2 linked regions of the Canis lupus familiaris genome follow. The protein of the gene in region 1 interacts with the protein of each later gene in a biochemical or structural test. Links are inferred from orthologs where the notes say so. Each region holds a gene or a part of one and is shown on either strand. Other genes may lie near its edges. The genes, in order: CABIN1 and MEF2D.

What was found.
Region 2: the proteins of CABIN1 (region 1) and MEF2D form a complex in vitro, tested with the Homo sapiens proteins (2 studies listed by BioGRID). The link is inferred for Canis lupus familiaris from reciprocal best matches to the Homo sapiens genes CABIN1 and MEF2D.

What each region holds. Positions count from the first base shown.
Region 1 is NC_049247.1:28,608,742-28,613,330, forward strand, and holds the start of CABIN1 (calcineurin-binding protein cabin-1), read right to left. Parts: upstream 3,076-4,589; 5' UTR 2,996-3,075; intron 2,857-2,995; exon of another isoform or gene 2,604-2,856; intron 1-2,603. UniProt on the Homo sapiens protein: May be required for replication-independent chromatin assembly. May serve as a negative regulator of T-cell receptor (TCR) signaling via inhibition of calcineurin. Inhibition of activated calcineurin is dependent on both PKC and calcium signals.
Region 2 is NC_049228.1:41,448,755-41,452,557, reverse strand, and holds part of MEF2D (myocyte-specific enhancer factor 2D), read right to left. Parts: intron 1,709-3,803; coding exon 1,465-1,708; intron 1,083-1,464; coding exon 776-1,082; intron 529-775; coding exon 517-528; 3' UTR 1-516. UniProt on the Homo sapiens protein: Transcriptional activator which binds specifically to the MEF2 element, 5'-YTA[AT](4)TAR-3', found in numerous muscle-specific, growth factor- and stress-induced genes.

The sequences.
Region 1 (4,589 bases):
TAACTGTGGAGAATAGTATCTTGATTGGATATTGTAAGGCTAAAGATAAGAACTGCGATTCAAGATTTGGGGCAGAGAGAACACAATATGAGCCTGTAACATCTGGAGGTGCCAGAAAATAAATAAATGCTCCCCAAAATTCTGAAGATTTGTTGAGAAGGCACAGCAGCTAACCTGAAGGAGATCCTGAACAAGCAAAGTCAGAACGGTGTACAACAAAATGATGGTAACATTAGACTTTTTTTTATTAGATTTTAACCAATGGAATAAAATGAATACCCCTGGGGCCCATACTAATGAGAGAAGGGATAGCTCTCCCTTTAATTGAATTTGAATTAATAAATGTAGAAGGGAAGAGAGTAATAGATCATTACCTTTAGGCACACACCACAGGGACCCACAAATGGATCCTAACTATGGTCAGTGGGCATAAATTTGTGAAAACCAGAATTCCCATCCTTCCAAAGTATTTCACCCAAGATACCTACTAACTGGACAGGGAAAGTTAGTAACTCTATAGGAACTTTTCAGTTGGCAGACACTAAACCAAGCAATCAAGATAAATATCACCAGTTATAAGACACATCAGCATCTTGAACTCCTTGGTATAATGCACTAAGGACAACACAATGTTTGTGTTATTGTGGCCCAAAACGCATAACTTCACATGAATCATGAGAAAACATTAGACAAATCCAAGTTGAGGGATATTAGACTGATATCTGATTACTGACGAGTACTCTTGAAAAATATCAAGACTAAGACAACACTAAGTAATCATTAAGGACTAAGGGACTGGGATGCAATGCCTTAATGACTCAGTGGTTGAGCGGCTGCCTTCAGCTCAGGCCATGATCCCAGGGTCCTGGAATCGAGTCCCGCATCGGACTCCCCACAGGGAGCCTGCTTCTCCTTTTTTTAAGATTTTACTTATTTATTCATAGACACAGAGAGAGAGGCAGAGACACAGGCAGAGGGAGAGGGAGAAGCAGGCTCTGTGCGGTGAGCCCGATGTGGGACTTGATCCCGGGTTTCCAGGATCACACCTCAGGCTGCGGGCGGCGCCAAACCCCTGCGCCACCAGGGCTGCCCCCTGCTTCTCCTTCTGCAGAAGTCTTTTGTGTCTCTCTCTGTGTCTCTCACGAATAAAGAAAGAAAATCGTTAAAAAAAAATAAAAAAGGACTAAGGAGACTAAGGAGCAAGAACTATTGAATAAAGAAAGGAAGAAAGAAAATATCTATTCTTTTCTCAGACTCCCAGCCCAGCAATCATATTATCCCAGAATAGCATATTTAGGAATTTAACCTCACAAATTTCCAAACTCGTTAGGCCATGGTTTCCACAGCCTTAAGAACATATGGTAAAGAAGAGCACACACTGAGTAACTCAGCACCCTGACCCAGTCAGTGATAAAAGGTGGCATTTCCTGACATGCTCTGGTCTGGGAGTCAGGAAGCCTAGATCTTAGGCTATGCTGTGGCTCTTCTTGGCTGTGTCATCAGCTTGGCCTAAGAGACCCCTCTTTGATTCTCAGTTTCCTCTACCCGATGAGGTTTTGGGCTAGACTAGGGGTCTGCAAGCTAACCTGCCTTGGAGCAAAGAATGGTTCTGACATTTTTAAATGGATGAAAAAATTTGTGACACACGAAAATCATATAAAAATTACATAAGATTCAAATTTTAGTGTCCATAAATAAAATTGTATTGGAACACTGCCACTCGTTTACCTATTGTCTCTGCCTGTATCCACTGTACGATGCCAGAACGGAGTAGACAAAGTAGGCCTCCTAAGCCTAAAATACTATTATAAATGTTTATTACATTCACAGCATACTCTGATATATAATTCTATTAATATTACAAATATTACTGCACTTACAACATAAGTCTGCCGACCTCTGAAGGAGACCACTCAAAGCATGTTTCAGGTTTTTCGTTTTTGTTTTTTTCTTAAAATTTTATTTTATTCATGAGAGACACACAGAGAGAGAGAGAGAGGCAGAGGACGTAGGCAAAGGAAGAAGCAGGCTCCACGCAGGGAGCCCCATGCGGGACTCGATCCCAGGACCCGGGTTCACAACCTGAGCTGAGAAGGCAGATGTTCCAGCGCTGAGCCACTCAGGCGTCCCAGATTTTTTCGTTGTAACCACAGTTATGAATCCCATGCAACGAATTTTAGCTGCGTGAAACCCCAAGTCCCATAGTTAAGCCCCATAAACCCATAGTAAGCCAGGCCCCAAAGAATTAAGTGACTCCGAAGTCACTTGTGCGGACACCTGAGTGTGTCAGTAGGCTGTGTGTAGCTGGGGTCCTCCTCCTCCTCCTCCTAGGAAGCAGCGCAGTCAAGATTTTCAGTCTAGGGGCGCCTGGCGGGCTGAGTCCTTAGGGCATGCAACTCTTGACCTCCTGGTGATAGGTTCAAGCCCCACAGGGGGTGCAGCGATTACTCAAAAATAAAATCTTTAACATTTATGTTTTTCTTTCAGTCTAGACTTGGGCTGGTCCACTAGTTGGTCGGCTGACTCTGGACAAGACCCTTCACCGCGCGAGGGCCTCCGTTTCCAGCCGTGTACACGGCGCTACGGGCAGCAGCAGCACTCACCTCTCGGGGCTGCTGTGAAGGTGAAGTCAAAGGACGCAAGCCAAGGGGCGAGCCCCGGGCTCAGCGCCGGGCAGACGCGCCGTCAATGGTGGCTCCCGCTGCCGTAGCCGAGAACCGCTCCCGACGCTGGAGCCCGGCCTCGGCACCCCAGGGTGACGGCCAGGGCGGGGAGGAGGCCCGGCCAAGCCGCTACCGCCCTCCGGCCTCGGTTTCCCCGAATGGGACACTCAGGCTACCGGGGGCGCCCCTCTGCCCCCCCGCTCCCGCGTCCACACCGGCCTCGGCCCGGCGCCCGCTGCCCCCCAGGCCCGCGCCCCTTCTCCCGCCCCCCGTTCAGCAGAGCCGCGCCCCCTCCCGGGGGAGGCCCCCGAGCCCGCCACCCGGGAACTCACCGGGCGTCTCCAAGGCAACGGCCTGCCCGCCTCGACCCCCGCGCCGGCCGGCTGCGCGCCTGACAATAAGGCGCGCTCCCATTGGCTCCGGTGCCGGCTCCGCTGGCCAATCAGCGAGGGCGCACGCGCCGCCGGGCGAGCGAGCTCCCCTGGCCCTCGCGGGCTGCGAGCGGCGGGCGCGCGAGTGTCCCCCTCCGGCTGCTTGCTGCGGGCGCGCCCCGACGACGTGGGTCGGGCTTCCCTGCTCCGCCGCTTGTAACACCTGGGAAACGCGGAGCTCGGCGCCTGGCCCTGAGCAGCCGCTAAAGGACGGTTTGCTACAACCTGGGGCAGGTGCTCGGAAGGCAGGGGACACTTGGGGACGCTTAGCGGGAACCGGGGGAGGAGGGGCGTTCCCCCTTATATATCCCGAGCCTCGCCTCGTTCTGAAAACGATTTGAAGCCCGAAAGGTACGGATACAATCAGCCATTGAGACCAAGATAAAGGGCAGCCCGGGTGGCTCGGGGTTTAGCGCCGCCTTCAGCCCAGGGTGTGACCCTGGAGACCCCGGATCGAGTCCCACGTCGGGCTCCCTGCATGGGGTCTGCTTCTCCCTCTGCCTGTGTCTGTCCTTTCTCTGTGTGTGTGTGTCTCATTAATAAATAAAATCTTAAAGAGACAAAGATAAAAGTCACACACACACACACAAAAAAGACGGGTAAATGAACGGGGGGGGGGGGGGGGGGGGGTGGAGGGAGTAACAGAATTCCAAAGCTGAAAAGAGGATTCAGCATTGAAAGTTTCCCGAAAACGGCCTTGGGCTGAAAGAGGTTAAACCCTTGGAAGCTCAGAGGTTTTTCAGGGAAAGGTTTCAAGAGTGGTTGGGATTCATAGTTGCTGGAGTCCAGCAAAAAAAAAAAAAAAAAAATTAAATAGGAATGAATGTTATGGCTTTCTCTTTGACCTTATGTAAAAGCGATAAAATCATGAACTCATAGCGTCAGTTCAGAACAATAAGCTTCAGTTGTGCACCAGGAGTTGCAAAAAATAATGGAGTCACTAATCTTGACATGGAGAGTACAGCCTTGGGGGGGAGGGCAGTGGACCCAGGCAGAAACAGGTGGTTTCAAGTTTAATAGATAACAAGCACCCCTGGATGCAGCTCTCACACCTGAGTCGTATCTTGAAATATGCTCTGGAGTGAAACAGGTGAAAAAAGATGGCAAGAGCGGCCCACGTAGCAAGGAGCTGTGTGGCAAGCTTTTGGAGGTGAGAAACAGTACAGGCAGTGTAGGATCACTCTGGCAGCACAGTATTACCAGGGGCCAAAGTTCAGGGCCACAGTGAGGATAATGTGGAGACAGGGAGGGGATAATCGTCCACAGCAACCAAATGACCTCATTCTCACTACAGTAGGGGAAAAACATTCAAAGTGGGACCAAGGCAGGAGGCTACTACCTTATGGTCCTGGCTAGAGTTAGGCCTGAATCCCTCCTTGGGCACTTTAACCATTCATTCAGATTCAACCCAGGAACATTCCCTGAGCCCCTCTGGGAAGCAGAACACCATGTTGGCAGAAGGAAAGAGCACAGGAAAAGTTGGGCCAGGGAGCCA
Region 2 (3,803 bases), on another chromosome or scaffold:
GAAGCTGTGCCTCACTTCCCCCCAAAACACAAACCCACCCATCAAGCCGACTTTGGGGTTTCAGTCTATTGTAAGGGGTTTTGTTGTTTGGTAGGTTTTTTGGTTATTTCCCTCTATCTGGGGGATGGGGTGGGAGGGCTCCGCATGCAGGGCTCGACACCTGTCCTGTCCCAAAGGCCTATAGGGCTCCCCACCCCCTCCTGCAGCATATGTGTACAACGTGCAAAGTGTCCCCCCCTTCCCGCAAAAAACAGCCCCCCCCAGCCAGTAAAATGGTAGGGGGTGCAAAAAGAGGGATGGGAACATCCCCCTCTCCAAAGCCAGAATCCAAATTAAAAAAAATATAATAATAATAATAATATAATAATAATAATTATACACAAATGTAACCGTCAACAGGACATGGAGCACAAAAGGAAGTGGGGGTCGAGCGGGAGGAGCCCAGGGTGGGGAGGGGTGGGCGGTGAGATTGTCAACTCTTCGTCAGGGAGGCTGAGAGGAGGGGAGTGGGAATCGTCACTTTAATGTCTGCGGAGAGAGGAGAGAGATGGAGAACGGGGTGTCAGGGCCCCGGCCGCCAGCTAGGCGCCCCCTGTTTCCCTCTCCCCGCAGGGCCAGGACCCTGGGGGCAGGCCAGCTCTGAGGGTGCCTGAAGGGCAGACTGGCCTGCGGTGGGGCAGAGGCAGCCAGGAGGCCTCCCGGGTGGGGGCATGGGGTGGGGGCAGTCCCGGGGTGCAGCAGACACTGGCAGGCGGGAGGGGTGGCACTACAGTACCCAGGTGTCGAGCCGCATCCTCTTCACCGCGGGGCCCTCAGCCTCAGGCTCCGGGGCTGGACGCAGCAGGCCCAGCGTGGGCCCGAAGTCCCCCCGTCCGTCGTCCCGGTCCCCGGTCTCATAGGAGCTGCTGGCAGGGCTGCTGAGGCCATCTCCGGGCTCCGGGCGGGTGGCCGGGAACACGGCTGGCGGGGGCGGTGCAGGGCTCCGCTCCCGGCTGGGTGACACCGGCTCCGATTTGATGCTGATGTGGGGATGGGTGGTGACCGTGAGGGCGGCCCCCACGTGGGGCAGAGGGCTGCCCGGGCTGGGCACGAGGATGGAGCAGGGTAGGTACAGGACACAGAGGGGACGGGGTGTGGGGACGGGGGGTGGGGTGGGGAAGCGGCAGGGAGGGACAAGCACACAGAGGAGAGTCCAGGAGAGGGACCAAGTGCCGGAAGAGGGGAAAGAAGAGAAAGCCACGTTAGTTCTTTCTGTCCCGGGTGACTGGCATCCTGGTGCTCCTGGCTGGCTGGGGAGGGGCTCCGGGGGCAGGGATCTCCAGGCTGTGCTCAGTGTCCCATATCCTGTGGTCCCAGTGGGTGACAGAGCACTCCAGCCCCCAGCCCCGCTGAGCGAGGAGCCTACTCTTACTGCCCTCACCTCTGCCTCTCCCCACCCCCACCCCCCAGTGCCCCAGGACTCACATCAGGCTGCTGAGAGACACGGGGACCAAGTGGGGCTGTGGCTGTGGCTGCTGCTGCTGCTGCTGCGGTGGCTGGGGCGGCTGGGGTGGCTGCTGCGGCGGCTGGGGAGGCTGGGGCGGCTGGGGCTGGGGCGGCTGTGGCTGCTGCGCAGGCTGCGGCCAGGCGGTGACACCGCCTAGCGACAGCCCCCCGGGGGAGCTGAAGGTTGGGAGGGAGGAGAGCTCAGCGCTGCTCAGCTGGTAATCTGCAGGGGTGGGGGGAGAGGAGGGAAGCACTCAGCAGGCCCCCCAGCAGGGACTGCAGCTAAGGAAGCGGCAGGTGCCGTTCTCAGCAGGATAGAGGGGTGTTTTTTTAAAACACTGTTCACTCTTTTTTCCAGGTATAGGTAGCATTCTCAGAATGTCAACTCAAAAACAGAAGGGGAAAGAAGTCCAGAAGGTCTAACATACGTCTAATGGTCGTTTCTTCAACTGCCAAGTCTTCAGGAACCCTTCAGAGACAGAGTGGTAGTGAGGATGCCAGGGGACTGGCGCATTGAAGCGCACTGTCACCACCCTTCCACTCACGGCCATGGCCAGATCTTGGGACTGTCAACACGTAAGAGGAGGAGTGGCAAGGGTTTGAGCCATTGTGCGCACATCAACCCAGAGGACACACCTCTGGCCCTGGGGCCCTGAGGGGTAAAGGGGTGGCGAGGGGAACCTGCCCTCAGCACACTCGGCCAGGCTTCTGACACATTCCTCGTCAGGGGGTGCTCCTCACTTTCTACCATTTCTGTCTGAAGAACCTGATGTTTGCATGGCTGACACGGCGTGAAGTGTTCCCTGCTGCTGCCTGTCTGGGACAGTTTAGTAAAGATCCCCCCAAGAAGCCCAGGGTGGTGGCACTGTGGGGGCACACAGGCATACTCCACGTGGTACCCCTGCCACACCACCATGCTCTTACTCAAGGGGTCACGGGCCATGGCCCCATCTTTATGCAGGAAGACAGCACCACTGAGCAGCAGAACAAGAAGGTGAAGGGCAAGAGTGAGGCGGTCAGGAGTCCTGATTGCCTCCCTGAGGCCCCACGATCTGAGGCAAGTGACCTGCTCTCTACCTATGGGCCCTGCAGCCGTTGTAAGTGCGCACAACACTGTCTGGCACACAGGAGGCATTCCGAAGACTGGCCTGCTGCTGTTACTCATTCACAAACGAGGCAACTGCAGCTTATGTGTGGGGAGCCTTGGCTCCCAGCTGAGGCAAGACCCCTGCTCCTTGCTGACCTATGCTCCCACCTGGAGATGGTGACTGCTCGCCTCTGGTCTTATAACACTGTTAGCCAGCAGCTTTGAGATGCTCACACTTAAAAAGTAGAGCAAGGACATAAAGGAGCCCCAAGGCTCCACTACTTCCCATACTCATTTTATAGACAAGGAGGACACCCACCCTGGGAGACTGCACAACCTTGCCCATGACAGGGTGACGGGGGCTCCACTGCTCTCCCACAGGCCTCCCGGCAGCAACCAGGCCAGACCTCTGCAGCCAGTGTCAACAAGGGGCCAGGCCTGTCCCTTACCAGGGACGTCATCAGAGCCAGATCGCCCTCAGCCAGAACTTGAGCAGGGGCCAAGGACGATGAGCAGCGTGTTCACTGGGGTTTTGTTTACATATGGAGGGTATGTTTTCACCTGAAAACACCCACTGTCAAAACAGAGGCGGCTGCTGGGCTCCAGCAGCAAGAGGAACCAGAGCCCCTGGCTTCTGGAAGGATGTGAGGAAGCCCATACTTCCCAGCAGGGCCCTAAGGGCAGGCCCAGGGTCAGAATCTGCTTTCACACCAGATTGACAAATAGTCTAAAGTCTGGTCTTGCCAGGCACCTATTTGGGCTTCACGGACATGCGCTAACCTCCCCTCCAGCTTCAAGAGCCTGCGAGGCCCGGAGAAAATGGCAGGAAACTACCACCACGTTTAGGGATTCCCAAAAACAATGGCTCCTGGGACACTAGGGTAGCTCAGTGGTTGAGCATCTGCCTTTGGTTCAGGTCGTGATCCTGGGGTCCTGGGATTGAGTCCCACATTGAGCTCCCCACAGGGAGCCTGCTTCTCCCTCTGCCTCTGTCTCTGTGTCTCTTGTGAATAAATAAAATCTTTAAAAAAAAAAAAAACAAACAAATAACAAAATAATGGCTCCTGAAAAGTAGTCTGTGCTACCCTCAGGGAGCCTCAGAGACCTTCTGCACACCCACAACTTTTCCAGACGAGGAGACTGGCCCCCAGGGGCACTGCCACCTGAGGATGGCAGCAGGCATGAGGACAGGAATGTGCAGGGATTAACTACACAGTTGGCTGAGAGAACC